Lepisosteus oculatus: one gene and its partner. Each later gene encodes a partner of the first gene's protein in a complex. Links are inferred from orthologs where the notes say so. Each region holds a gene or a part of one and is shown on either strand. Other genes may lie near its edges. The genes, in order: ctnna1 and cdh26.1.

Region 1 (15,680 bases):
TTGCTGAATCCTCTCTTGTAGAGGATTCCTGTGTAAAGCCCCAGTCCAAGGCATTTTCTGCTGGTCCCTATGACCCTGCATTGTAGAATGCTAAATACTCTAATTAGTTTTGAAAGCAAATGACATTTTTAAGACAGCCCGAATTTTAAGTTCAAAATCAAAGCAAAGGCAATATGTTGTTTTCTTAATTGCCCTTGTTTTTAACAGTGTTCTAACTATTGGAAAAGGTGGGAGTTTGCTCTTACTATAATATGCTGCACTAAAAACTACAGCATTATAAAACATTCTTGACAGCTTATTAAAAAGTGGTCATAAGGGGCATGATGGAAAAGACAGCCTGCTATCAAATACCAATGTACTGTTTACAGCTTTCAGCAAGGGTCTTGACTGGTCATTCATTCTTATCTAGTGAGGTAATATTTTCCAGTCGTATCTCAATTCCATGACCTGTCATCTAGTCTTGGACTGCTGTATTCTCTCACGGTAAAATTCTTAATATCAGATTTTTAAATCCTAATAAATTTAGAATTTTATACAAAATTTGTAAACAACAAATTAAATTCTACTTTGTTTATCTTTCAATTGACTGTTCTTTCCGGGACATCATATGCTTTAAATAGCGTATTACAGCAGTAGACCTACCTTACTTTATATGATTTGAAGAAGCAAATTGAACATCACTGTATCCTGCTGAGTGCATGAAAAATGTATATGTCACCACTTTCCTGGGCTGTATCTAAACATTTTTCTTTTAATTGTGCAACACATTTGTTGAGTGTGTGTTTAAGAATTTTAAGCAATTTAGTTGGTTTTTCACCATCTAAGTTAATTTTGTCAGGTTTGATAATAAAGTCATGTTTTTATACTACACCCAAAGGGTGTGAATAATGTACCTAGGCTGGGTTTTACTGACATACAATATGGAATATTAACTCTCTTTTTTATCTACTTTAAATGAAACTAACAAGTAGCACAACGAATGAGTCTGTAAAGTGATTTTCTATTATTTATTTGATTTTATTAAGGCTTAGCTATATATTTTAGAGTTCGGTTATTGACTTCAAAATCTTTTAGTAGGGGAAAACAATGAAAAAGTGATAAGATGCTCAGCACTTCACACCTTGTGTTTTTGTTGATTTGTTTTTTACTTGTAAGCAGCAAACTACACCAAAGCACATTCCTTTTTATATTTAAATAACATCCGCAGCCATTTACAAAACCCACTGTCATCTAATTTACTCTTGGAAGGTCTCTGAAAGATCTGGCTTTTTAAGCCTTAGAAAATTCAGAACAAAACAATTCAGCACCTGAGGGAAGCTTGTAACAAAACTTTTTTGTCATGGAAGAGATAATCTCTTCAAGTTTCTTCCTTGAAAAAGCATTAATAAAAAAAAAAGCCCTGTTATGCATGAAAAATACAAAACTTCAGTTTGAGCAGTGAACATTTCTCGATATGACCACTAATCTGGCTATAATTTGAACTGGAAAAATCACGAATGTTCACTGAGAATAAACATAGGTGAATAAAAAGTCATTTTTTTTAGAATGTTATTAATTGCAATGATAATTTAAATTTTAACTTACAGTAGTTGCATTTTTAGAACTTATTGAGTTTATCAGTACTGTATTTAGAGAAAAAATAAGAACTCACATATTTCAAAATGCTTAGTAGGATTATTTTCCATAAATATTAGATTTAGTATTCCCTAAAGAACTGTTTGAATTTATTGACTGCATGTTTAGAGTAGATAACCCTATGCATTCATTTAAAAAATAAACATGTAAACTGACATTTCAGTAGACTTGTTGCTAGTCAAATCCACATTTACTGAAATAGATTTTTTTAAATAAACGAGAAATGTGATCCAGAAGGAAGATTGACTTGGAAACGCATCCATCAGTTCTTTTCCTCTCCATGCCTGTGAATGACTGGACTTATCTCACGCAAACCTAAAGACAGACAAATTTTAAATAATTGTGACTGCTTAAAATGCATTGAGGCTTTGTGGAAAAAAGCATCACTTTAGGCTCGTCTTTTAGGTAAACAAAAGTTGTATCTTATACAGTACATGTTTTGCATTAATGAGGATTGCGAGAATAGCATTAATAATCATTATTCTTTCAAAGTAGCTAATGGGATCATTTTCATAGTTTTACAAGGGATGAGTGTCTCAATCTGTTCAGCACCAGATTAGTAATTAAATCATCATGATCTTACATATTTTGGTTTTTATTTTATCCTAATCGTCAAGAAAAATTCCATGGTAATTTCATTACAGTAAATAAAAACAGTACATTACAGTAAATAAAAACACATTCCAGTGCCTACAGAAGCCACACGTAACATTATACTCCTTTTCAAATGGCCAGTAGATCTCAAATGTACCATATGGATGGTGACCTTCTGTGACTGAAGCTCTCACTTCTCTGGCCTAGAAAAGCATGCAGTACTTAATCATTTCATCTAGTTTCCTTTAGATAGGCAGGATCTAAAGTTTCTAATTAAACTTCTGTCACTAATACCTCCTCGTCCAATTCAGGGGCTCAGGTGAGCCTGAATATATGCAGGACATACATACTATGGTACCAAACCCGTATACAGTAGATCCATTCCCCCCCCCGTGAAAACCTGACAGTGGACCCCTTCAGGACAGAATTGGAAGTGCAGCAGCTACATGGTACTGGAAGTCAGAAAGCAGAAACACAATTCTGTACTGTGCTCCCCAGTGGTGCTGGGGACCAGACTTCAATTCACACTGCCTTCTGCTCATAGGAACATAAGAAAGGTTACTAATTAGATAAAATAATTTGGCTCATCTAGTTTGAATGATTGCTATAGTAACATTAATTGGAAGGAAAGCCTTCGAGAGTAAACCTGATGCTTCAGTCAGTGCCATGTTAATGGACTCACAAAGATTCATCCTCCAGGTGACATCACAGAACTAAAAAAAATGTAAAGTCCAGACCACACCCATAGCTGCTCATCTGTGCAGAGCTCATCCTGGTTGCTGTAGTGATAAGCAAACTAGACAGTGCGTTACTGGTCTCCAATTCTGCAACTGGGTGGACAGGAACAACTGTGGTACCTGGCTTGTACCTCACTTAATGGTAAACAGCAATACCTGTCATAACCTGTTATAAGTTCGATAGTTTACCCATTTCACTATAAAACACCCATCATAGAAGGAATGAGATCAACAAGCCCCAATACTTCTATTTAATCTAGTAAGAGTAAGAGCCTGACCAAGGATTCTGTAAAATTTTGAATCTGCTGTGATTAGGATTCTATTAAAAATCTAAAGCCTGGTCTTGTAAAATCTAAATGAAGTCCTGTTATTGTTTAGTTAAATTAGAATTAGATTTTTAGTTCAGGAAGTTTATATATATCTTGTTATGAAACTGTTCAAATTTCTTTAATTAGCAAACAAAAAACAAAAAAAAAGATCATGGTTGCAATCTGACATAAATAATTTTATGTGGTCTGAATGGAATAAACTAGTTAACCGATGCTTGATCTACCACACATAAAATCTGAAAAGCTTAGTAGCCTGCATTCTCCATTTAACATCTTCAGCCTGTGACAATATTTTTAATAAAGAACAGATCAAAGAATAAGAGCGAGTAGGATTGCCTTCATAACTTGTAATGATCTTTATTTTTAAAAATACCTTTCATGACACAACATTACAAGGTATTTTACATTAACACAAAACAACCGTAAACCTCTAGCAGTTTATAAAAAGCATGCTTCTTAGCCTACATATCAGGGTTTTCAAGAAGATATGAAAACTGTTCAAACATCATGTGTTATTAAGCAAGAGACATAAGGAGGATTTCATTCACAAATACAGGTATTATGCATTTGAGACCACAGAAAATACTAAGCTACTAGACTACAGGAACATATGCATCCTGATTGCAGAAAAGTACTCCTGTGATTTTTTTCAAATATGATACTCCCTGATATAGACATCTGCACTATTAATCAGTTCACTAATTTTACAAAGCAATTGCACGCAGCTTTCATTATACAGATGTATGAAATACTGCACTGATGAGACTCGAATCTGCCTTTGATGACACAGTGAATTTCAAAGCGGCTTGTAAATGGCTTTCAGTATTTGTCAGCTGGGTGTGGTGCTTCCATTGAGACCATTTGAGATTCAGAAGCCCAGAGCCCATTAAACACAGACAGAACACCTTCAGACAAAACTAAAAGAATCCATTGGAGTGTGCTTTTATATAATATCGATTTTGTATTTCAGATGAAATTTAAAGCAATCCTAGTGGAATTTTCAACTCCATACTGTTCTATTCATTCAATTTACTTGGGTGGAATAATATTCCCTTTTCCATTATACAACCCAAAGCCCCTTTTAAAAACTAGGATACAACCTATTTACATTAAATAAATTCACATTTTACAGTGCTCATGCACTCTCATTACACACCCATGTAATTGTGAAGTTTGTCCTCATTAAACCCCTATCCTGAATGCATCGAATAGCTGTTTTTACAGGGGGTATCAAGTTTCAGTTCCTCATTAATCAGAATGAGATAGTGAGAAACAGTTCATTGTAACTTAGTTGACTCAAGCCATGCAGAGGGAACTGATTTTAAAGCAAAATGAAACTGAATGGTACTATAATCAGTTATTGTAAAATTATATACATTGCTTATAATTTTCTTTATAAGCAATGTAGACTTCTTAGCGTTTACATCATACAGTAGCTCTTTATTTAAAATAGGCCTTTTTTATACCCAGCAAATTATTATATATTTTACATTAAACAAATGCTGGATTGAGATAACAACGATGTTTTTCAAAATAAACCATTTTCATTCAAATAGGAGGTTATTGCTTCAGTCCGAATTGTCTAAATCCAGTGCAAAAGCAAAGTGATTGTTGTGTTTTACCTGTTCCCACATCATTATGTCTGAGCTATTAATACACTCTTTCATCCACAGATGTCGAAGTTAGATTTTGTCATGCCACTGTTTTGCCTTCAGTCCTTAATTGGTATTACGACCTATGGCTTCTGGCTTTTTAAATTTATTTATGTAAATTTATTTGTAGAAATGGAGCAGACAATTAAATGTGACAATAATTTCAACCTGAGAAAAAGATGCCCGTGCGTAATTAAATTGTTAAAGCTGTCAACCTTCTCCAGCACAGATAAACATGACATGAGAAATGACCATATTACATAGTAAAAGGAGCAAATGTTTGAAGAAGGAAAAAACACAGATACAGTGATTAATTTTTATGTAGAGCCATCTCCTTCTAACATATCATTTCTACCAAGCCTCTTATGTGTGTGCTCTATATCTATTTGTTTTTTATTTTTATGTTAGCTCCTAAAAATCCTTATACTGTCTATAACTGCCCTAACTCCATAAAATTCTAAATAAACACTTAGGTTCGGTAGAACACTTCAATAAATTTTTATATTAGAATTTGTCGGCTTTAATGACTGATTCTTTATATACTTGCTACTTGCTATACATGAACTGCCTGCAACATTTTAAAATCAGTTTTACAGCAGATAATACGCTTGGAATAGAACGGTTTTAGAATATGGTGGAATAAAATTAAGAAAAGGCAGAATAATATGTTGCCGACTTGAAGTTGGTATAAAAAAGACAACTACACTAGATAAATCAAGCAACCAAGGCAGCAAGATTGTAGATCTCTTTCAAAGATACAGCCACAACCTCACTTATACTCTATTTTGTCTAGTTAGACTGTACTATTCACTTGTTTCACTAATTTACTACAAAAATAAGTACTGTAGTACAATAAGCTGAGAAAGTCTTCCAGCTTCTGAACGTCTCAAAAGCTTTCTGGTTGTGTACTATAAGCATCTGTGACAAAGACACGGTTTTTCTCATGCAAAAAGGTCATGACTTGTATAAACATGCTTTCGGTGCCGAAACAGACATGAAATTATTCTTTCATAAGAATGGAGGCCTGTGAAGCAAAATAATGCATAAAATCAAAACCAACTGAGTTCCGTCAGTATCACAGGGAACCAACACTGTACTGTAAATGAACAATCTTGACAGGTTTCAAAATAGAGGTTTCTTGAAAGAGATAATTGGTAATTTCCTTTGGACCAGACACCTTCAAAAGCTACTGCAGGCTGTAAGAAAGGAGGACTTGTGTAGTTTCAACCCTCTTACTGACGTGTGTATAAAGTATTTGGGCTATTTAAAGAATAATGCCTCCCCGCAATGGTAAAAAAAGAAACATAAACTGATTGGATAAAGAAACAGCTCATAATTGGTGATCCCTTTAGATACAAAAAAGCTTCAATTAAACATAGTTCTCGCCATGAAAATGCAAGAACTATGAACACGGAACAAAGATGTCATTTGTCCTCTTTAAGCCTCCTTTGATGTAAGACAGGAAAGAAAAGAACTTGAATCATTTATGCCCTATTGCCAGATCTACAGTGCTTCTCAGGTACTCTCCTTCTGTTCTCATAAACGCACTCTCTGTAAGAGGCTAGAGGCTCTGTGTGATGTAACTCTGTCTTCCCACTGCAGTGACTCATGAACACCTGCCTTATCATACAGTGTTGCTTCATGGGAAGACAGTTACCCATATGCTTGATTCCTCCTCCTCCAGTTTCCCCTGATTGTTGAGTTCCAACTTTGATTTATTAACTGTTTCCTCCCGTTAAGTGTTTTATTTTAGTTTCTCAAAAAAATAAAATCCAACCTTTGTGAATCAGATTGTTATTAGCAGAACGAACTACTGCAAAGTTTTTATTTCTCTCAGATGTTCTTAGTCTTAGCGTCTTCATTCACTTAAGCATTGAGAGTCTCTCCTCCCGTGCCTCAGGTCATCAGACTACTGAGAATATCCAGCAGTTTGCCGAAATAGATATCTTGTTTTCTGCCTTAGGGAAACTGCATTTCAGTAGTTACAGAGATAGCTTTTATTTGCTGACATAAGAATGCCTGAGGATCTAGTACTGATAAAAAGTGCAGTGTAATTGTAAAGCTCAGGAATTCATCTAATATATTTACATGCAACGTTTTGGGTGGAGGGTGATTGTGTATGGAGGGAGTGGTGAAGCAGATTGAGTTCTCTCAGAGCTCATTTATCTTATCGGTGTGGCAGGGAGAAACGTATTTGCAAAATAAGGAATAGCATTGAGTATTAAACTGTTATTCAGCTCATTTTGGCTTCAGGATGTAATTATGCACACGTTTTATAAAACATGAGAAATGTATCTCATACGAGCACTTTTAATCCTTGTAGGTATTTAAATATGAATTTTGGCGGTTTCTTTCTAAAGGCTCTTAGCACTCAGTAATACAATCACAAATCATTTCAATGAAGATAATCAAAGCACATAAATGACGTAACATCACACACAATTCAGACGTTTAGCCGAAACTGACCCTAAACTGCTTAGTCCTCCTACACGATTAAGTTTTAAGTGCATTAAAAGCGTCGTGTTCAACAAGCCTATGTAAGTCTCGGTGGTTTATTGTCGTCTACGGGAATCACGAGTTGTGAACCTCCGACATCACAATAAAAAACCGAGAAGGCCTCGGGATTTAAACCACACACGCCTGACAGTCGAGTGCACGGCTGTTTGGAAGCACGGAAGGTAAAAAAAAACCAAACAAAAAAAAAAAGAAACAGAACATGCTCACTCCCGCAGACAAACTGCACCCAGCGTTCAAAAACAGTAAAACAAACAAAACACGTCTTGCAAACTCCAGGCAGCGAGCCGCGACTTGCAGACACCTGGGACGGAGAGAAGACGTCATCGCGGGAGCCCGCAGGTAAGCGCGGAGCTCGGCCACTCCCCCGGCACACCTGACCGCCTGGGTGTGGGCGCCTCGCTGTCGGTCACCGAGTCACTGCCTGTGTGTTCGCCATTCCGGGAAGGAGTTAGCACCCCCCCCCGCCCCCTACGTGGAAAAGGCCAAAAAAAAAACCTTGGATAAAGTTCGAGAAGGTAGGGCTTGTTTTTTTTCTTTACGTTTTATCCCGAATATAAGAAACGACGTAGGCGAAGGTGCGAGTTAGCTGACTTTTCGGAAGTTTATTTTCTTCTGGGGAGGGTGATTCAGGGATTCAGCAGCAGCAGCAGCGTAGGAGTGGCGTGTAACAGCCGCGCTGATCCCATTTCCTCTCGGAGTTGGGAAGTTTGGTGGAGCGGAGGAGCACGGGCGAACGGGAGGGATAAAACGACGGAGTAAAAAAAAAAAAAACTTTTCACGAAAACTTCAAAACTGAACTTTTTTTGTTCATTAGGGTTTCGTTCCAGGGGGGAAAAAAAAATCGCAACATCGGAAGCGGCGTGTGTTTCAAGGTACGCATGAATCGTGTTTTGAACAATTGTAGCTAGAAAAGAGCAACACAATCGTTTGTTTTGAAAACAACGCGATAGGCAGGGTTCATCCATTTTGACTGTTTTAACTTGGGAGGGTTCACCGTTTTATTCGAGCTTTCCTCTAAGCGTTGTGTGCTTAAAAACCTTTCCCATTAAGCACCGTTGTATCTTTTCCGACAGTAATTCGAAATGTGAGCATAAGAAGTCTATTTTAGAAGCACGATTGACTTAATTGTTTATGGGGAAGAATGGCTTCTCCATTTCATTTCAGGGCTGCCCTGCCTAAAAGTAATGAAGTTTCAGAAGGGAAACTAAATTAGTGTTTTTTTAAAAGTCACGTTTTACGTGTGTTCAGATCACGTCCTGTAAGTTTTAGTATTCATTTTAAGTTTAGGGGAATGCTGGTAGTTCTTACTTTTTGACCCCCAAAAAAACATGCTAAGCACAGACTTAACCACAGCATGAGTTTTAAAAAAGTTACTCAACAGGGTTGAAACACGCTCTGCCTCCGACTTGTTTCTTTTTTTTATCCTGCGGCTTTTTAAAAATAAAAGCGAAGCAATGAATTTGTACAAATTTCCCATTTTTTTTAAAGGACCAGCGTGTGAATCGCATGAACTTTCGTGCGTCTTTTTAAAGTAGGTCCGCCCTACCATCAGACTATGTAATGATGTTCCCTTAGCTTATGTGTTATTTTTTTTTAAAGTTTTGAGCTGGTTACTGTACGAACGTCGGTTCTGTTTCGAGCCTGCACCCCAGGGCGATTGAAAGTTAAATTAACATGGCCCAGGATACTCCCATGCTGGTCGGGTCCGTGTTCCGCCCTTCATAATCTGGGAATGATCCACCCTTTTTACTGATTTCATCAGGAATGTGCCAAGCCGCTACCACCTGTGTTGTTGTCTTTTTTTGTACTTCTGTTGTCTCTTGAATGTTGAGACGAACCAAACCAGATACGCCACATCTCCCAGAAAATAAAATATACGTATATTTTCGTGGTGGGGGTAGGGTTGGGCTGGGCACTCATTAGGCAAGAACTTCCGGTTGTCCCAAGCGCGTAGTAATGCTGGGTTTCCCGTTTCCCGATATACCGTGTCCTTTAATTTCAGTATCGTCCTCCGTTGCCCAGTGTTTGCTCTGTGGGTGCTGCGATATCAGGCCAGCCTCGGTGGTCAGGGGTGGTTTTTAAGTCGGACCCTCTACTGATGGTGAATTTGAGTGTCCCCGGTGTAATCACTTCTAGCAAGGCTGCAAACGTAGTTACGGTTTTAAAAATAAAAGTAACTCGGAACAAAATACTGACAGTCCTCCGTGCTGCTTCTGTATCAAATTTAGCGATTGGAAATAAGACTGAAAAAGTTTTACATACTTCCTAGGCAAGTAGGCGTTAGGGTATTTAACAATCTTTACGAGACTTTCAGTAAATAAAGGAGTGATGGACTGTATACCGACTCCACCTGTCTAGTATTTTTCCTGTGTGTAATGCGAAGTCTGGCTTTATTACAATAGAAACATCTAACATTTGGTTACATTTTCGACTAAATGTCTTTTAATTAGTTCAATTTGCAATCATAGCTCCTGTTTATTAACACTTGTCACTGCTAATCGGGTTTTGAAAGCGTGGGATTTATCTGGATAAAACGTGGCTATTGTGAATGCTCATCAATTCTTAGAAAGTTATTTATATTAAAGTTGCTGCCCTCTCGCTTGTTTCTAAATTGAATTCTGAACAATAACTTGAAAAACATTTATAAAATAATAAAGACTATTGTAAGACATGGCTAAAAACGTACACCTGACTAAGCTTTTGTCAAGTTCAAAGGAAATTTCTGATAAATTGGAGTACTTCTCCACAATAGAGTTTGCAGACTTAAGTCTTCAAATCAAATGTCTGGGGAAGGTTGGAGGCTGTTACAAATGTTGCAGAAAAGTGTGTCCTGGTTCATCCCGTTACAATAATAAACCATTTTTAAGACAACAGAAACTTATGGAAATACCTGGGCCAATATTCAAACTTGACCCAAACCTAGCTACCTAAAATGAATTTCAGATGGCTCTGACCCGATGTGGTATTTTGTAAGAAGGGTCTGGTTTGCCCATAACTGTCCACAACCGATTAGTAGGTTTGAAATTGAAAGGGGGTGGGAGGGTCCAATTTGTGATTTAAGGCAAGCCTTGGTTTTTTACACTGCTCCTAAATTGACCTGTTTCACTGCACTGTGTAGCCTACCTGTATTTAAGATGTGGAAGCTCTGTATCAGGAATATCTTTGCTTGACTTTTGTGTAGCGGGTTAATTTGCTCCCTGTGTGTGTTCAAAAACGGAATAAATGAAGTTCCATTTTTATGTTGTAATCCGTTTAGAAATTAAGAGGTGGGAATGTTCAATTTCTGAATTTATCCTAAGTAATAAATCAGGGTGGCATTTTTTTGTTGGGTATTTTAGCTTTTTCCCCTTCAACTAAGACTGTAAAAAAAAGTTTTTTCTATGTATATTCACTGTCCAGCATAGTAAAAAAGTTTTAAAGTCTGTAAGTGGTCTTACTAATTTAACTTTTCCATGTCTAAATATATTTTCTGTCCCCTACAGTTATCCAAAATGTAAGCCCATCAGAGCTCCTGAGGCTTATGTTATACACAGACGTGTAACATATTTGCACAGCAGATGATATGGTAATTGGTATCTGTTTATTAGTTGGTGCTGGTAAAGTGAGTGTGGAATCTGTTGTGGAGTTTTTTTTTGTATTGGACCTGCTGCTGTTGGGCAAAGTGCTTCTCCTGAGCATGTGTCCTGCCCATCGGACCACCCCTGTCAATCAGCTTGGCTTCCTAACAGCTGCCACCCCCTGGGGGGCTTGTTGTCCTTGATATCCAATGCATGACGGTTAATCAATGAAGATGCGGCTGTCGCATCTACAGCAAATCGAAAATGAGCATGAAGATTATTCTGCTGTACCTAATAACTGTCATTCTCTTTTAGGGATGTGAAACATTTAGGCTATTTGGGAAGTAAACTCGTTAAATTGATTTTTTTTTGAGGGCAAGCCTTTCCTGTTTTTTTATATGGTCCCCAAATTTATGAATTGTGGAACTGTGTTAAGGAAATTGAGTTTTTCCGGAACCCTGAATTGCTGGGAAAAATGGGTACTTTGACCTTGTGAAGCTTTTTTAAAGAAAGTTTGTATTGTTTTATTGATCAAGTACGATATCGAACTGCTCTTGCTCTTCCTTCTTCGGTCTGCTTCAGTAGGTAGGTGATTTGTTTTTGTAGGTAGTTATAAATAATATGCTTTTCAGAGTTTTGTCTCAGATGTCCAAGGGAAGCTATGGTTATTCTGTGTTTCTGATTTTTGCCGGTGACATCTGATATTACTCTACAACAAGTTGAACAATGAATGTAGAGTCATTTAAGGTGTTGGAACAGTAAAAACTAGTGTACCCTGTGGCACAGATTCTGCCAGCATCTGAGAAAGTCAGTCAGCTCCTTCTGCAGGTGGAAAAGTCTGTCTAGGGCGACGTTCCAAATGCTTGATGAGGTTACGATGTGGTGACTGAGAATGTCATGGCATGGATATGGATTTGTGCTCTGCTTGTGGGGGGACTTGCCACCGTGAAAGACGCCCTTCCCAGCATAAAAGAGACGCTGCATCATGGGATTAAAATGTTTGCTCGTTTCTGAATGATAATTGCAGTTTATCACGGACTTTGCCCTCTAAGGAATGACCAAAACCAATGCCAGGAAAATGCCCACAGCTTTATGGACCTGAACCTTTCAGTGTTGTAAACGGGCACTCAGGCCTGTAGGTTTGTCTGTCCTGAACACAGTGAAGGATGATTCACCTGAGCACGTCACATTTATTCACTGATCAGTGGTCCATTGCCAGCGCTCCCTGCACCACTGGAATCGAAAACATGCATTTCCAAGAGTGGTTAGTAATATTTGAGCTGCAACCTGACTAAAGTATCCCACTCTGTGCAGTTTACAGTGAGCATTTTTGATCAGCCTGGCACGCAAGCAGCCAGTTTAAAGTTTGCAGTTGATCATTTGTGTTTTGCACTTCTGTTTTGGATATGATGATCCTGGAGTATATGCTTCTGCTAACTGTTGCCCTTTTCTTTCTTTTCTGGAAATTCCACGCTGACCTCACTTTATGAAATTGCAGATTCACGAAATTGCAGATTTGAGCTGGCTTGTCCAGCTAAACAAGCCCCAACAATTGCCCCCTTTTCAAAATGACCGAGTGTGTTCACTTGCAGCCATGCTACTAGCCATAATTATCGGCACCCCGTCCTGTTCAATGTTATATAAGAGTGACCTTAAACATGCTGAGAGGTTATTTGCTTAATTAATTAAAGAACCACATCAATCTTTTTGTCCATGATCTGTATTCTATTGTACGTTGTACCAAAAATAAATTTTAGTCTGTAATTTGTTTTCAATAAGCCTGTAAGATTTGAAGTGCTCAGTAAATGAAACTTGTACCGGACATTAGGCCCAACATTACTGGAAGCTTTGGTACAGCTAATGATTTATTTGTAAAACTGGATTAAAAACATGCTTTAAGTTCATGGGAAGAACTTGTGTTGTGTGGGTTTTAATTAAAATGGTTTAGTCTTGATACTATGAAATGTAAGGCTTTTGCTTCTCCTTAACACACCCTAGGTTTAGGTTGAGTCTGTTTATCTAAAAGATAATTGAGCATTGAGTTTTTTTTGTAAACTGCTTCATGTGTACAAAACCTCTGCTGGTATTTAATTGATATATTGTAGCCAAGTCAGATGGACCCAGGGTAGTTACCAAGAATGGGCTCCTTACGTAAGATCACAGGATAATTCTTTTAAATTAATTTTTAATTTCTTAATTGTTTTTGGAAATGTACATTTAGACATGTTGTTTTTTCAGATTTGTCTGGAAGAAAGTTACATTTTTCACTATCATTGCAAATGGTTTCTGCCACAGTGCAGGCTGCATAAACCTGTTTTTAAATTATGGACTTTTTTCCCTTCATCCAGTTCTGTATAGCTACAGGCAGATCTGTGACTGATTAGTACTAATAGAAGACAGCTGGTGCTCCTCATTTTGTTGGAAGTCTCTTACCACAGTAGTGGTTCTTAACTGTTTGAAAACAGTTGTGTACTTCCAAGCAGAGCCACTTGTGATTCCTCGGCAAAAAAGACAAATTTCTTCACGCTAAAAGTAATTTGTTTTCTGGATGCAATGCCTGTCTTAATCCTCCCATGTCTATGAAAATAGCTGTTGCAAACATCCTTTGTTTAGCTAAAGGATATATTGAGTTTTGCACCCCCACTATTTCTGACAGTTGTGGGTCAGTGGAAAGTGCTTTACTCCCTGTGACTTTCTTCTCATACCTCTGTAAAAGCTGAAGTTTTCAGATGTAATGTGGGTTTAGTCTTGTTGGCCAGCATGACCTGTTAGGAGCAGTCCAGAAGTGCAGTTAAGAAATCATGCACTTAGGTTCTGCAGTTTACATGTGAGATTCCCCACTCATCAAAATTTTAATTAGGTGTGAGAGAAATGTAGATTAGGTAAATTTGCTCCACATCTGAATATTGGTGAAATTCGTTTCTGAAGTTGCTGTTGCAGGTTTCTCCCCCGGTTTGTAGATTGCTTTTCAGATAAGCTAATCAATTTTAATTGTGTAGGAAAGTGTCACGACTTGCTGCTGGAAGCATATCTTCTGATCGGCTTAAATTGGTCTTTATAATATGGAAAACTATCCATGTCTGCCAGAGGATTTCTGCAGTATTTCACGCTGCAAGATTTCTCGCAAACTTCAGCATCGGCTTTGAGTCTTCTTATCTTGTTTAAAGTGCAAAAAAGAAGTGTTAATTTTTTTTAGCTTTTATACATTATTTCTTCGAATCCCCAGCTGGGAAGATGGGGCTAAGCAGCCTTAGGCATATCTTGCTTAATGCTTTAAAGTGGTTTAAGTCTAAATGGTAATTCAAGAAGTGGCACACAGAAGATGAACTGCTTTTATGGCAGCACAATGCAATAGTTTGGATTCTATTTTTATTTTAGATGGTAACTTTTGAAGTTACAGATGAGAGAACCATTCATTGTTTTTGTTGCTTTTATGCTGGTAAACTTTCATCCAGGTGTTTTTTATGGTCTGACCACTGCTGCTTTTCCAACATTGTTATATTGTTAATGCTTTATTAACCTTAAACTGAAGGTTTTTTAATTTTATTAAGAGATACCATCCAGTAGATGAATAACCAACCTGCCTGCTTCCTTTTCAGATACTGGATTAACATGACGAGCATTAACACAGCGAACATTAACTTCAAATGGGACCCAAAGAGCCTGGAGATCAGGACTTTGGCTGTGGAGAGGCTGCTGGAGCCCTTGGTCACCCAAGTAAGAATTTTACTTAAGGCTCAAATATGCACTGTATAATTCCAGTTCATGTTGCATTTTAATTATTCATCTATCAACCAGTTTTAATTTTGCTTCTTACTGCATAATTGTGGTTGAACTAATTCCATGAACTTGGCTTTATTAAAACCGAAAATGACAGTTTAGTGGTATGCATTTGGGGATGTTGCCATGACTACTGTCCTTTAATTCATATAATATTACTATTCAAGATATATATTCTTTCATAGGAACACAGTAAGAAATGGTATACTGTCTCTGAATTGATAATCTCTGAACCGGTTTTCTCCTGAAAACTGGGGTTGGGAGAAGTTTCTCATTCTCAAGAGTACTAGATAAATTCCAGAGCTTTGTAAATAGTCCCAAAAAACAGAGGAAATGCTGTAGATTTCAGCCACTGGTAATGTGGTGCATGAGGAAAATGTTAAAGACTGTCAAGTCCTGTTTGCAGCAGTTTTCTTTCTGTTTAGAGATGCAGTCTTAGGACACTGCTGGAAATTTTGCCTGAGTGCTACTTTTTCACGATGTGCAGTTTCTGTAATATCATGGGTTACGTGGAGCTCTAATTGCAACCAGTCTTGCAGGCTCTTTCACGTCCTAGTCTTTACAGAGGAGCTTGTGTGAGTTTGACCCCAAGTATCAGTTTGTTCTCTCTCTAGTACTTTGTAGGGATAAGGAATAAGGCATACAAAACTTGTCCCTGACTTCTGATTTTGAGGAAGAGTGAATGTTCTTCTTTCAGGTCACCACTCTGGTGAACTCCAGCAACAAAGGCCCGTCGAACAAGAAGAAAGGGCGTTCCAAGAAGGCCCATGTTCTGGCTGCCTCAGTGGAGACGGCCACGCAGAACTTCCTGGAGAAGGGGGACAAGATCGCCAGGGAGAGTCAGTTTTTAAAGGAGGAGCTCACGGCTGCGGTAGAGGA
Region 2 (16,462 bases), on another chromosome or scaffold:
GCAACCTGTTTCATCTGGAAGGGCTTTAGTTTTACGAGCTTCAACTTTACAAGTTCTTGCGAATAAGATGATTGATTACATACTGAATTACCAATGATAATGATAATAATAAAAATTGTGATCATGAAGATAATGATGATAATGACATTAATATAGCAGTAGATGCAGGCAATTGAGTGTTACAGTATTTTTCCCAGAAACAACCAACAAAAACCCCCATGGCAAAATTACTAAGAATACATATATACAATATAAGAACCTTCTGATAAAACTAAGACCATGACCATGAGCGATCTATGGATCAGTGGGTATTCTCCATATTTAAGATTTAAGACATAATATCCAACATAATAATAATCAAGTCTTAGCATTTTTTTTCCAAATCTTTTGAGGAGCGTTTTTTGCTTTGATTAAAAACAAGTAAAACAAAAGTGAAAGCTACTCAATAATGTGTGATCACCAGCCACAATGAGGAAATGTTGTATACTTTATCTAGAAGCATTATTATGCTGAGATTATTTCTTGATACTGTATATTGCAGAAGTATTCATCCATCTTCAAAGGACCAGACTTTGTTCAATCACATGGGCAATATAAATTTTCTTTTTTTATATCAGTTGCTCTTGCACTTTCAATTTCTATAGGTCAGGTGCTGGTTGGGGGTGGAAGTACTTTTAGAATGGAGAAAGGAAGGACAGCAAAACCCCATCACTGGCCAAACATCCTGTTATGTGAATATTTTTTTATATATTTCAATGTTTCAAAACAGAACAACCCAAATACAAAAAGCTAAATTTACCTCAGCATATAATATCCCTTTCCACTTCCTTACAGTAAAAAGAGTGGTACCTCCGAGGAGATGCCATTCAAAGTAACGCAGAAATAGAATCACACACTTCTTGGACAGTACTGAGCAGCAGCTGTTGGTTTGGACGAAACTAAAAGGTGGCAGGTTCAGATCCCTGAAGAGAAACTACCGTTGTACCCTTGAGCAAAGGTGCTTTCCCAATTTGTTCAAGAAGAATAACCAGCTGGATAACTGAGCACAAATGGAATAAAAGCATCAGCCATTGAAACTAGTAATAACACTCAAGTGGAAGTATCACAGTACACTAAAAATCTGACATATCCATTTCGACGTTCCGTACCTCAATCTACCTATCCCCAACAGACAAGATGAATCTGGGTGATAGTAAAGCTCCCTATAAATAATACCATTAAGGGCCAAGACTCGTTGCTTTCAAACGAGGACATGCAGAGGTTCCCAAAATGTGCCAGCGTTTAAGCCACACTGAGGCTAGCCCATAGATCTGTTTCTAGAAGTTTCTGTTTCTGCCTTGATTCCAAGTAACATCTGAATCCTTAAGCAGGGAGCAAATATTGACTGGAATTCCTACCATGTTATTCTACAGGAGATCAAGTTATTTTAACTCTATCTGGATTGAATCTAGTTTGTTGTAAAGCTGTATTTCCCATCTTAGAAGTTATTTTTTGGCTAACATTATAGACAGTACTGACATCGTATTTAGGAAAACTGTAGGCTGGAGGTGAGTGATATTGGTGTTACGTTTATATTATAAATTCTTAGATTAAGGGAGTCTAAAGTGCAGTTTAATCTTTGCTTGAAACTTTGGTGTGGCAATTTTAGGGACGTGGTTCTTACACATCATATTAAATCTATCCCAATCTCCAGCCCACATTCTAAAGGCATTTGATGTGAGACTTGAAAGCTGAGACTTTTGACTTGACCAGGGACCATTGAATTAGATACAACTCTGGATTGACAGACAGGTAGTAGTTTGTTTTTGTCATTTGTTGTTTTGTATTTATTGTGTATTCGTAACCAAAAAGATGGTGTACATATGGATAAATAAGGTGTTACAGGACAAGACGAAAATAGACGAGTGACGTAAAATGTGAAAGAGGAAAATGTGAGAATGCAAATCGTATTACATTAATTGAACTGGGCTTGCCTTTTGGAATAATTCCAAGAACATGTCAAGAAAAAAGTTGTTAGAGATACCCTGGGAGCTGGAGATCATCATGACATGATCAGCATGTCAAGGTTTTTTTCTAATTAAGGTTCTTCATTAAGTTTCTGACACAGTGATGGATAATCAGGAAAGACAGGTTCAAATTAAGCAGGAAAGTCTGGCAAAGAATGTGACAAAAACCACAGTTAGGTTGAGAACTGGTCAATAACATACCACTGTGAACCACTGAAAGCAACAGAGTCTATAGGTGTGGTTTAAAGGGACTCTGTAATGTCTAAGAGAGGAATTAAAAGACTGAGATCCAGATATATTAGAAATCACACCACTTCAGGTAGATTTGTTTTTTTTGTATTTGAGATTCAATCAAGCAATGCCATAGTTCATGCTGGGAACTCACTTTAACCTATCCTCACTTTAATCAGTCCTGTTCATGTCAAATGTATTACATGCAGGATATGCAGGTTCAGTGCAGTTCATAAGTCAAGGAAGTACTGTAAATCAATGATGAGTAAAACAGGGTAACCACAAAACACAAGGCACATCATTCATTTTATTTGTCTAATAAAAAATGCATTGCATGGGCTCTCTCTACAGTATAATTAGGGAGAAGGGCAGTTGATTGCATACACAGGTAACATGTGAACTGTACCCAAATCCTTAGTCAGGAATGAATGGAAATATGCACTACTTTAAGCACAGCCAAGAGGCTAGAGAAGAATACAGTAAACACAGGGCTCTTCTTCCATTATCTGCCATTCAGGTACCAGATACTTGGGGTAGGGATGGGAGAATCATGGTCAAAATTAGAAGCACACAAATGAATATACCAAAAAATTGCAAAAGCACAGACACAAAAAGCGAAGTAAATTTAGGAAGAATAAGCTAAGTGATAAACCAGAAGCACACAACAGATGGATTTTCATAACAGAAATATTTCAGGTCAATTGTCCCACTCTAGGCTATCCCAGCACTGCCCATTGTAAACATTGGTCTGTTGTAAACAGTGATTACTTTATTGCCCTGCAATATAAAACCTTGATTTACTACCGAAGAGGACTTGGCTCCACTGCAGGTTTAGTCACAACAGCTCACAACATCCTGGAGGTACAAAGGCATTACACTCTTGTTTAGCACGGCACATTAGTTCCTTTCTATGTTCTGTCTTGTTTAATTTTTTTCTGTCCTGGCAAGCCTGTTTCCATTACCTGTTTCCAATGAACTCTGTCACTAATGAGACAATTCAGCACACGTGCAAGAGTCAGTCAGTTCAGTGTATCAATGTCAGTCATGAACAATTCATTAATCAATATGACATTAAAATCATTTAATCAGTATCCCAAACCTGTATAGTTTCATTTTCTAAAGACATACATGCTATACTACTGTATAAATGTAATATTTCTTTACTTGGCAAATGTTCTGGTGATGCAGTACAAGTCATGTTTAAAATTGATCAGGTCCTTGCAACTCTCAACACTGAGATGCAAGAAATATTTCTTAGAAGGTAATATAGTATTGCATTCTTACAAATTGGAAAGAGCCATTTTTCTAAAATAACAATTAAGCTGTAAAACTCTGAATTAAACTCTAATACGTGGTTTTCTCACAGTCGAGGGATTTTTAACACCTGAATCAAGTGGCTCTGATGCTGTGCAGACGGTGTGGCTGTCTCACAGCACCTGGGTCTGGAATTCTGGACTGGGATGCCTTCTCTCTGGAATCTGCATATCCTTTCCACTCTACGAGTTTCGGCCAAGTGCTCTGCTTTCCTCCTATGGTTCAATAACCGGTTAACTGGTGTCTTTTATTGTTCTGATGTGTACATGTTTCTTGTGATGAACTGGTTTCCGGTCCAGGAGCAGGCAATACTGCTCCTTTAGGGCTGGTGTGTCTGTAGGTATTATAGATCTTTTCCAAGCACCAGCACTTGAAGAGCTGTGAGAAGTTGTACATTCGCTCCATTAAGCCAATATGGAGTAGATGCGTATTGTTAGAATAAAATCCTGCAGACACACAAACCCCCTGAGACGTGGATTTCCCAGGATAACTAGGTGTTGTCTGACCTTGCCTCCAGCATCTTCTAGGCTAGCCCCCCAGATAGCAATCACCTTCCTTAAGATGATAGCTGTGGATCACGAGTAGACGGAAAAATGGATAACTACAGCTCCACGGTTTTGGAATTTCTTGGAAGTGAGCGGCTTTTGAAAAGCAATTCGATTCAAATAGAAATCTCCGAACAAATCAAGTTTGCACATGACATGTACAAATGAAATTAAAAGGTCAGTCTGTTAGAAAATCAAAGTGAAAATAATGACTCATTATGGCATAAAAAAAATAAAAAGGTTAGCATTACCAAAGAGCCCTAGGTCTTGTGGCGGCATATACGTTTGAAAGAAAAACATAATTAGAATAATGTACCGGTAGCTGTCTGTGTCTACCATTTTAGAGATTGTATCTGAATACAGAGAAAGCAGGATACTCCACAGAAAATAAAATGTTAAGGCGATTTGCACAATTACATTGATGGTCCTTGTTTTCATTGGGAGTGTACATTTTTTTAAATAGCTTGTTTTTTCCAAGAGATATATTTTTTTTGTTTTGTATGGAAACGCTAATTCAAAACACATACAATCAAAGAATTTGAAATTATTTCTGTCCCATCACAAAAGTTTACCATATAAATTTATACATCTAAATATTAGAGGATATGATCCATGGGAGTGATCTCTCCTGTCTGACAGTGGGTATGGTGCAGCATGTGGTACATTCCTGTAGACTGTAAAGTAGTAGCAAACTAGGCTTTTCCCTAGTGCAGTTCCCTAGTTAGTACTGTGGTAGTATCACTACTGTGTCATCCTTGTAGTTGAGTTTATCATTTTACCACTTTGCTAATCAGTGAACACTTTCTGGAATCCTATCCACAATTTATTTGTTCTGTATTCATCACTGAAGCTAAATAATAAGAATATTCCTGTTCATTGAGAAATAAGTTCCATTACAACGACCCTTATTGTAGTTGTGTTAATTCTGCTGCATCCTCTCCTTGTGTGTTTTTTTTATTTTAAATACTATGAGAAGCCATCTTTGAAGGTGCTATATAAGATACGGTTTATTATAATTGTTATGGGTTTAAAATTTGTTTGTTGATGAATACTCACTATTGCTATTTCTGCAGTGGTGTAATGTTGTATTAATGATTTTATTTCCACTTAAGAGTTTTGCTTTTAGTTTGCTGATTTATGATGAAGTGTAAGCAAACATGACAGAACAGATCACCATGGTCAGAACGGTTACATTCTATTTCCAATCCTGGCACTTAATTACATTTTTTTTTTCACTCAGAAGCCTTGTACATCTACCCAGTGGAAACCTGGCACAAGGCATCATTTTTTATGAGTTCCCATTGATGGGTGGGTTAAAGTTTTAATGTACTCCAAGGTTGTTTAATGTTCTCCCAGTTTTCTGTCCATACATGTATATAGACAAATGTACTGTATGCAAATTTAACTAGAATGACCCATTGCTTCTGTAATCCCAATTTGTTCAGATTTATATTGACTGTTAGATTTAATGAGTTTTACAAATTACAGATTTATTAACCCTCTTCACATGGACAACAACAATAAAAAGCTTTTCGAGTCAAAGTTTTTCGGTTAAATAATGAGGGAAATAATGGCCTCTTTGGTTTAGATTGGAGATTTTTATTGCACAAAGGCCTGACATGTCTATTTATTTGTTCTCCCAATTCTAAACAATACTGAAAATATAAATAAAATTTAAAATGCCAGGAAGAATATTTTTCAAAGAGACATTTTGAGGCATTTTCAAATTTGTACACAACTGTACTTTACACAAGTCATACAGTGCTTGGAAAGTCACGATTGTGTATAGTATAGCTGTTGTTACTTTATACAAATCATTTCATTTTCATTTCGATCAATAACATTTTAAAATACTGTATATTGGAGGGAAACTGGATTATAATAATTTTAAATAATAATACATGAAAAAAACTGGGCTTCAAATAGCTATGGCATGTGTCATTGTTAGAGTTATACAGTTATAATGCAAAGAAATGAATGTGGGCTGAGACATGGAGCTTTGTTAATCCCTTCTAAAATACTGGAGATACATTGAGAAAGGTCAAATCAATGCTGGATAAACTTCATTCCATCTGTAGAGTTGGAAACTCCTTCTTAATCTTCTTACTCCTTCTTAATTTTTTGCCGTTTTTGTTAAAGTGCTATATTTATGGACACCAACTGGTGTAAAATTAAGTAAATTACTTTCATACACAATCAAAACTAAAAGAAAACCATTATGTCCAATGAAAAAAAAACAACATAACAATAAACTCACTGCCAGCAGTGAAAGCACGGATTGTTTTTCACAATGTTTTCACATATTCTGAAGCCCCCTTTCTTCCTGGGCGATCATTTTCACTAATGGTGATGGGGATTCCACTGTAGGTCCCACCAGTTCTACCAGTTTTTTTTTTTCAATAGATCTGTGGATTGTGGATTCTACCCAGAGAGGGTGAAAGATGCATGTCTCTTGCTCCTTATGTCAATTTATACTGTACAGTTCATTGACCACCAAGGACAGAATGTAGTCATTTCAATAGGGGTATCCTTATAGTTTGGTCAGTGAGTATACTGTACTTTACTGCTCTTCCTCACCTAAGTTGGAAATGCTTGAGAATTGTACTACAAACAGCTAAGAGGATAAACTTCCTTTACCGAGGAACTTGTGATGGATTAGTGAAGATATTTTTTCTTCTCTCTTCATGAAAACCATCCCACTACTCTTAAAGAGCAACACATAGCCCCTGTCAGTTCTTCCTGCTCATTCAGATTTCACAGAACAAAATCAATGAATAATTAAGAAGCAAAATAGAAATTGTGTTGAATAAGAAGACGAAAGAAGAACAGTTTGTCACAGTTTGTCAATCCTGAGAATGGCTTATCTCTAGTGTTTGATGAGTGACAATCTTGAGCTAGTTCATTGTATTTTTTAGGATCACATTACATTGTGCTCCAAATCTAATCTTTATAAATGTGTTTTTATTCTCTACTAGTATTAAATATAATGAATATTTTATATTCAAAATTGAAATACAACCAGTTATATAAAAAAGAAACACAATTAAATCTTAATATACAGTATCATTATTAATAAATTAAAGTATATTAAAACAAAATGGTAGAAATGTTACCAAAACAAACGTGAATTGAACACTTTCCAAAACTGTTTCCAAAATAGACGAGCTACGTCCACTACAGAACAGTCAACTTAGAAAACAAGACATGATATTTAAGAGGCTCATCATTAAGACACAGTGGAAATAGCTGCCCGATTGACCAATTTATTCGAATTTGTGAATGATCACTGTTTGGGAATTCAATTTGGAATAAAAATAAAAGCTGGCATTTTATCCACCATTTCTCATAGTTATCTAGAAATGTGAATGAGTTGAGTTCCAGGTTACCTGCACCTAAATTAACGTGCCATATTAAATATATTTGATCTTCCCCAAACTCATTAATTATTCCAACAACAAATCTCCCCCTTCCAAAAAAAAAAAACCCTAACAAAACAATTAAATATGATTAATTTGCAGTTCATGCGCTCTCGATTTCTCAACATGTTTGTCTAAACCGGTGGTCCTGCGTCACCTACAGGGATTGGTCAAGAAAAAGACCTTTCAGGTTTTTCCGGCTATGAATATTCTGTGTGTAGGGAACATTTTACAGAAGTCTGATTGCTCCCCAGACTGTTACAGACATTAAAGCTACGGAAGGCGTGGAAAAGTGACTCTTGACTTTGATAGGCTGCTTCCAGTTGGGGACTACAGTAATTCACACACACACACACCGGTTAAGTGGAGCACAAACTTACAGTCTTGGTTTTCTGTTTCGTCGTCCACGTATTAGTACAAGTTACCACTGAGAGAATATGCGTGGATCTATTGTCTTTTGGATGGCAAAATGCACGACTCTTCTCCTTTTAACTGTAAGTACAATATTGTGTCCATTATAATGCGACAATGTAGCTTACTTTCGTTACTTTTACAATTAATGGATGTTACTTTACGACTGCCAACATAAAAGACAGCGAAATATGTTAATTCTGATGAACAGAGACGCAATGATTCGAAGTGTTATGTTCCACAAAGTTAAAAAAAATAAAAATAACTGTAGTGCGTTAATGCTGTTTTACTGTAAGTAGCTTTTATTAAAATGTTTTAAAGCTGTATAACCCAGCAAGTGTCGGACCCTAGCAAAATACATCAATTATTAATGTCTCCACAGGTAGCACATGGAAAGCACAAAAAAAAAAACATTTTAAAATGTTTTCCCCCACAGTCGATCTAATTCGACTAACGATAAAACTTACTAGTAAGGTCGTGAAATAGCATGAAATAAATTATGACGACAACGATGATAATTGTATAAGGAAGAATCCTGCACTGCATTTATTTCTACGCATTCGCGATAAAGGTTGTCTCAGTACTGTATATAAAACCTTTCACTTATTGTTTCTATGATTATTTCATTGGAATACTTATTGGTTGTACAGTTTCAGCAGCTGTTGATGTATTTACGAAAATATTAATTCAGCTGTTGCAGAAACATGTCTCCTGTTTATGTGACCTACAGCTACACCAATTGTGCAAATTCTCATGAAGTAGTTTACCTAGACACTGGGCAGTACTCCAAAACCTAGAGTGAATTTATGAAATTCAGGTAAAATGTAATTCATTTGTATCTACAATTCTATGAAAATATAAGTTCAATAATATTAAAATTAATAATGATAGGGCCGGTTATGGAAAAGCAGGTCACATATAGTATAGATATGAAACTAGATATGAACTAGATATGAAATACATTTATATTTATTTATAGTCATATTGTGCAATGCGACTTTTTTGTGTACTGTTCTGTTCTGGTTTTGTTCTGTTCTTTGTGTGTTCTGGACTGCGAGTAACTCTTCTACTGATTGTATTGTATGTATTGTATTATTATCATTGTATCATTCATTACACTGTTGTCTGTGTTAAGATGCTGTTGCACTGCAATTTCCCTCACGGGATCAATAAAGTATCTATCTATCTTTATACTAAATTGTAAGGGTGAAATTTCAAGTAGCACTTCCGTGGAATTTTATATTGTTTGCGACTTGTAAATTTCAAAAAGCTGTAAACTATTATGATTATGATGTAACTAATTTAGCAGCAGAAAATTGAGTAAAACATTATCTTCCTTTGTTCCTTAGTTGGTCAAAATAAACAAATACTTTCATTTGATAAACTCTAAATAACAAAGCATTCCTTACAAGGTACAGAATATAGTCAGTATATATCTCTAACAATCGTTTTAATTGTTTAGAACACAATGACTTCTTGCTAGAATAAACAAGTATCTGATAAATGTGTTTTACAGATGGCTTAAAATAGTTTAACAAAAAGAATTGGTATTTATATGTGGAAATGCATTTTTACCACATGAAGGATTTAAATAATAGCTGAAGTAAATACTGTAGATAGCGAGATAAAACAGGATTGATACTAGAAGAGGAAGAATAAATAGTACTGTAAATGTGCTGATTTGATACTTCACTCAACAATTCTAACAAAAGCATACATGCTCTGTATATCACAAATATGTCCCAAGCCATACAAGGTGTGTTGTACGATGTTTAGTGATAATAACTGACACTGAAGTATTACAGAGACCAGGGCATCTTACACCAAATTTCTGTTGATGGATGGCATTTTCCAGGTTGTATTTAAGAAAATGAAGAATGTTATTCATTGACTTTAACTAGAACATTTCAGCTGCCACTATGGATGAGGGTATACCCACAGTTTTGCAAAACTGAGAATAAACTGTTGTGGAGAGATCAGTCTTACTGTTGTTACTGGTAAAATTATGGTCTAATGATATTTGGATCTAAACTACAAGCATATTTACAAAATGATATCAGACAACATGGAATTAGAAAAGAAAGATGTTTTTAACTGACATTTAATATCTCTGTGCTGCAGGGATGCATTTTTGGTCTAATTGGTTTATATTGATGATTTACAAGACTCTGGTTAGCAATCTAGCTACATTTGCAGATGAAAACAGAGGGAGTAGCAAACAGAAGCAGCTTCAAAGCTTACAAAAACCTTTAGATAAAATCATGGATTGAGCACACATGTATTGTAGCTAATGGAATTTAAGATTGGTAAATGCAAAGGACTGCATAAAGGAAGAGGGAATATTTAGTATACATATCATATGCGTGCTAAAGAATTTGTAGAAAGCTAGATATGAAAAGGATTTAGTTATTTTTGTGGATTTATCTTCTCTTTAACACAATGTGGGGAAGCAATAAAAAATAAACAGAATGCTTAAGAGACTGCTTTGAGCAAAGATTATAACAGATTAGTAGGGCTTCATTTAAAATACTGTATTCAGTTTTAGTCACCAAACCACAAAAAGAATATTATAGTCTTAGAAAGAGTTCAATGAGGAGCAAGAAGAATCATCCCTCATTTTAGGGAATTGTGAAATATTGTTGTTGGTATAAACAGGTTTCCCAGCCAAGATGTTGAATTTAGTTGGAATTTTAGATTAATTTCGTTACTAATCTACCAAAGAAAATGTGCAAGCACTGTTTATTTTAATAGCCATGTGACATAAATTCACCAATATCTTATTCTGTCATGCAATTTTGCAAAACTTGTCAGCATATATTTTAAAAATGGAAATAATTCTTTCTTAAATTGTAAAGCATAAATAAAGAAAAGTAAAACAATTGGCATTGTATATATTCAGTTACATTTCCAAAGTTCTTCCTAAAATCTACAAAGTGGCATTAAGGAGAGCAATTGCTTGTTTTTTCCTTTAATGTTTCTTCTCTTTTGTCTCCTCAAGGCAAAAGATTCACAGAATCTGAGTTACCAACGAGTTACCATTTTCTGAACTTTACTATAGAAGTTTTTAGGGTCTTATTCTCTAATGAATAAGCCGTGTTGAGAAGAGAATAATGTAGCAAATTCGGGGTCTTGAGGTTTCTGCTCTTGCCACTGTTCTACTCTCGCCTCAGGATCAAACCCAGGTCTCCATATTAATAAATATGAGGCAAGAACGAAATACTGTAAGAAGGAAAAGAAAATATATCATCTGACATTAAAAACTTGTTTGATAAACCACTGTATGGATCTATATAATTATCTGCAACAAATTATGTTTACAGAATTTGGATGAAGACGGTAACACACCTAGCAATTGAGCCTGTAAACCGGTTAGTCTTTTTGGTCCTGTAATTGATTATAATCAGTGCCTTGAACAATTTACATGTAGGTGTGTTTTTCAGTTATAGCTTAGCATTGTGTTTAAATGCTGTCTCTTTTAATTCCCAGCTGGAATCCTTCAGGTATCTTTGCTTTTAGTAACATCTGGAGCTGAGGGAGAGTTTTGGGTGAAAATACTAAAATGAGGTCAATCAAGAGTTGGCTGCTGATACTACTGAGCTCCCATCAGAACAAAAAGAGTTTGTAGCTACTTAGATCTTGACAGATTGTCTATACACGGGGTTGCCAAAAATAGTTTGGGGACACATATACAGTACTGGAAATAAATATGGAAGAACAATAATGTACAAATTTAAAACGATTAATTATCAATAAGTTAAATATTTGTTTGTTGTGAATGTTATCTAATACATCATTATCCTGACATTTTATGTGGTCAGCTGCTGCTAGAAAATTGCCACAACACCTGAAAGCCTATCCAGGTATAGACAGTAAGGCAGTTTCATATCTGTAGTGAACACTTTGTCTTCTGGGAAGGAAATGTCACATGAGAAAAAGCAAAGGTATCAATTGTTGTAGCTAATAAGTGATGCTTTGGCAGACTTTAGTCCAATTTATGCAATATTCTATGAAGAGTACTGTTTGTACTCAATGAGTATTTTCAGGATCTTCTAAAATAGTATCAGTGGCAGTAGAAGAGGTCAGGCCTCTCTGCATGAAATTGATGATACAACAGAAATCTTGAGCATACTGTACCTTCATGCAAGCATAGGGCTTTCATCAGGAATTGTCAGATACATAAGAGCTTAAATGGTTTCAATTAGCCAGTTTCTCCACAGACACATTCACCTTCACTGATCAAAGATTTTGGATCAGAAATCCATCCACCTGTAAAGCATATCATGAGGCTTAAGCTACTCCTGGATTGCTTACATGGATGGATAGGCACCTTCCTTAAAAACACATGTCTTGAATGAGAAGTACAATTTTGAACTTTGCTATGATGAGATCACCCATACTGATAGTACCTTGCACCTTACTAGAAGAGTTCCTGGGTTGGTAAAAAAAAACCTGTCCATTAGCAAAAGGGTTTATACAGTATTTACTAGTTAAATTGTTTAGAAACATGAAGTAGACAAAAATGAATAATTAACAGTGTTGGAAAAATAATAAGTGAATCCCTAGTTTACTTGGCATAATTAAAGGAGTAGTAAATAGAATCAGGTGGTTAAATAATTGAGTAACAAGTAAACATGGACAGAGTTTATACTTCATGACATGATCAAAAGGGATTTCAGAGGACCTTAGAATAGGAGTAGCAGATGCTTATCAGCCTGGAGAAGGTTATAAAACAATTTCTAAACATTTTGGAATCCATCCATCTACTACATCTAGATATCATCCAGTTATCCTACCAAGATCTCTAAAAGAGCCACCGGAAAGTCATTCAGGAAATCACATAGAACCCCAGAGTAATATCCAAGGATCTCCAGGCTTGTCTCACACTGGCTTATGTCAGTGTTCATACCTCAGTGATCAAGAATAAGCTAAACAGGAATGGTTTTCATGGGAGAATAGACAAGAAGGAACTATTGGTCTCTAAAAAGAATTTTGTTGCCTGTCCCAGACTCTATAATAATACTGGAAGAATGTTCCCTGGATAGGTGAGTCAAAAATTGAACTTCTTGGCCACAATGAGAAATTTGGTATAGTGAAAAACAAAAACTGGCTTCTAGCAACAAGCATGACTGTAGATGTATCAAGGTTGTAGGGTGCCTTGCCAGCTCAGGATCCAGACAGCTTGCTACCATTTACAGAATCATGAATTCAGCATTGTAATAGCAAATGTTGGAGGAGGATGTCAGACCATCCATTCACCAGTTGAAGCTGTGCTGACACATACAGTAGCAAGACAATGATCATAACATACAGTACAACATTTACAACAGAATGGCTGGAGATCAAATCTCATATGTTGGATTGGCCAAGTCAAAGTCTGGACCTAAATCTCACTGAAATATTATGGCAGGAGTTGAAGCAAGCCATCCACAAGGAAGCCCTCGAAAACAGCTCTCTGATGTTGGCCCCTATACAAGCAGCCTCAACAATGAAACCCACAGTATTCGTTAGTGCTCACATGACTGTCTATAAGGAAGTTTACAGTTGGTAACACACTTTTAATTGCTGGATGAGAGGATTACAACACCGGCATTGTTCCACCTGGACCTTGTTGGGTAAAAGTGCACCTAAAGAGCTTTCGTGTGGGAAATAGCAATGCCTCACTGCACAAGCTGTATTGCTGGTCAGAAGGCTTATAACAAATGGACAACTTTTTGTGAAAGTACAGTACATAAGCTACAACTGTAGTATTCTCATTCCAGAAAATGTTGTGTTTCTTTTTTCCACTAGTATATTAAACTCTTTAAAAAAGCACAGTTCTTCATAGAGTATACTCATTGTAACATGTGTTAATAGTGGAAGATATTGAAAAAATGAATTTGGCTTATGTACATATCACAGCTTGTTTTTTAAATGTTTACATCTGTAAGGAATGTACACTTATTAACTTTCAGATTTCTTTGAAGCATGCATGAGCTTGCTTTAAATATCTTACAGAACAAAGATAATTAGCATTTTGTATTAGTCATTCAAGGCTGACATTACCCACAACAAATCTGACTTACCGAATCTTCTTGGACTCAAGGAGGTTACCTTATTTGAAGGAAGTGTCTAAAAATGTTCTTAATCAATAAAGCCTCTTCGATTTTTAGCAGCATATTTTCTTCTGTATATTTTGAATATTCCTATCATATTGGCACAATCACTAGATGCTGTTCAGCTTCTTTTTACACACTAGTCAATAGTCACATCACTATTCACTAGTCAATAGACCCTTTACATTGAATTTCAACTTACGCATGATCTTAAAAAATGTCAACGTTCAAAACAAGCCATAAAAATGCTCTTAATTTGATTTACAGTATGTGTAATTGACAATGTTTTTAATCTTTGATCTACAAAATTAGGATGATTGATAGTAGTTCTGAGCTCTGGAAGAACAGGTTCCCACAAAGCAACCTGAGATACAATGCCATCTCCTTGATAATAATGACAGAGTTTTGTACATTGTTTTGGAATTGTATTCAGTTAGGCACACCCCTTGTCTCTTAGGATCTAGCTTCTTTTATCACTAAAGCTCTCCTACGGGTTAGTCTAAGTAATGGGCACCACACCTTTACCCTTAAGGGCAGGGAACTTTCAGTACATGCTCTGCATGGATGCAAGACAAGGATGTGAAATAAAAACTACAGTTTTAAATACCTACAATAACATAAACATCTTGAACTTGTCATTTTTATGGGAGTTCCACATTTATTCCTCTTATGAATGCACACTTGATTCAGATCTGATATCTACATGTAAGGCAAGCTAGATAGGTGCCCAAGTGCACAAAGTGCCTGGAATTAGCGGACTGACAGACCTAAGGTTGAGAGCCCCTAATAAATGTTTACATTCCTGTGGGCTGGCCTTGCCTGGTCCTGCAGAGATGGTGTATCTGAAGGACAGTTGAAATTCCTCTTAGACCATGGTAGTTTTTCAACTGAAATAATATTTTGTCAAAAGGGCTAGTTATGAAAAATATTATATCAGAGTGAAGGAATATACTGTATATAGTACTGTATGTTGCTTGTCCTGTCTGGTTTTTACTATATTTTCTAAGTAGCTACTGCAGTAATTTCCCTATAGTTTAGTTATTGCAAATTCACTCTTGGCAAGGACCTCAGCTGAATACATTAATAATACTGGGTTCTGAGGAAAAACCTCATGAAATTATTATTAACAGTGCCAAAACAGACATTCCCATTGGGAAAGACTCATGTGATGTCTCTGTATATTATTTATTAACCCTTTATTGCACAGTTATTTCTTGTATTGGATCTTTTATGTCTCTAGAGATTAATCTGCTTTACATTATGCAATAAAGACATATGTCTTTGACAGAATGTTATCAAATGTATGAAATCATGTAGCAGTACCGAGAGAAGAGAAATTTTAATGATAGACGCTATTATACTGTTATAGTGTCCACTGCTCACTGTAAGATACATACATTTCTTTGGTCTTCCACAGGTTGTTGTCAAATTCCATTTGATGATTGAATGATTTTTGTGCATTTTCACTGTAAATTAGTTCATTGTTCTTTTATTTTCTTAAAGTAAAAGTCAAGGTCCCTAATCTTTGCATAATTTGGAAAATATATATAAAAACTGCTATACTATTATTATATGTATTTACTGTTATCTAATTAGAACAGTTTTCATTGTAAAGTAAAAAGAACTAAAGTTAGTTTCCCTAACATTCTAAAGACTAAAATGAATTAAATAAAAAACCTTTTTATATTACATTTTATGTGACTGCTTTGCATGAGAAAAACGAATTCACGTTAAGTCAAGTAAGAGCGATCTTACTCAAATTCTAGTTGACTGTACTAAAATAAAAGTGCATGACTATATCTAATATAGTTCAGATGCGTAGCTGCGTCAGCATGCGTAGGCTGCAAAGGAACAAGTAATAGGTTTATTCCATGCTGAAAAACGAAGAAAGAAAACACAACGTTTCGGAGCCTTCTTTGGGTGTGATATATTATATCTAATATAGACATTTTTGTTGAACAGACTACGATTATGACTACATTGAAAACAGAGGACTAAATCAACACTGGACTGAAAGTTTCAATTCCACCCCTCAAAGACATTGAGAACTTAGTCCTAAAGGAGGTAGTTGGCAAGGTGTGAGCTATGGGTGAGGTGATGTGGAAAGGCAGTCAAGCCAGATGGTGGAGATACCTGAAAGGATATGTGTCTAGCATGCCACCCTGCCCTGGAGGCCTGTTCTCACATGAAAGAAGGCACGTAGCCTCAGGACACACTGCTATCCCTTTTTATATTAGTCTAGCTTTTCCTTTGCAGCACACATAGCTCCAGTGTCATGAAAAAGAGAGAGAATTTGCTGCTAAATTAGTATTTTTTCCATGAAAGCCTTTTTTTTACAATGATTACCCTTTTGTAGGTTTGTGGAGACCTTTTCATATGAAATACTCTGAAACAAATAATTAACCAAAAGCGTTCTTGGCTTTATCAATGGTTCAACAAAAAAAACA

The links.
Region 2: ctnna1 (region 1) and cdh26.1 share a complex: the UniProt entries of both Homo sapiens proteins name them as parts of the cadherin:catenin adhesion complex. The link is inferred for Lepisosteus oculatus from reciprocal best matches to the Homo sapiens genes CTNNA1 and CDH26.

The regions. Positions count from the first base shown.
Region 1 is NC_090706.1:36,608,490-36,624,169, forward strand, and holds the start of ctnna1 (catenin alpha-1), read left to right. Parts: upstream 1-7,783; 5' UTR 7,784-7,803; intron 7,804-7,873; exon of another isoform or gene 7,874-7,979; intron 7,980-8,278; exon of another isoform or gene 8,279-8,336; intron 8,337-14,620; 5' UTR 14,621-14,633; coding exon 14,634-14,738; intron 14,739-15,498; coding exon 15,499-15,680. UniProt on the Homo sapiens protein: Associates with the cytoplasmic domain of a variety of cadherins. The association of catenins to cadherins produces a complex which is linked to the actin filament network, and which seems to be of primary importance for cadherins cell-adhesion properties.
Region 2 is NC_090711.1:8,682,237-8,698,698, reverse strand, and holds the start of cdh26.1 (cadherin-like protein 26), read left to right. Parts: upstream 1-7,762; 5' UTR 7,763-7,949; coding exon 7,950-8,006; intron 8,007-16,462. UniProt on the Homo sapiens protein: Cadherins are calcium-dependent cell adhesion proteins. They preferentially interact with themselves in a homophilic manner in connecting cells; cadherins may thus contribute to the sorting of heterogeneous cell types.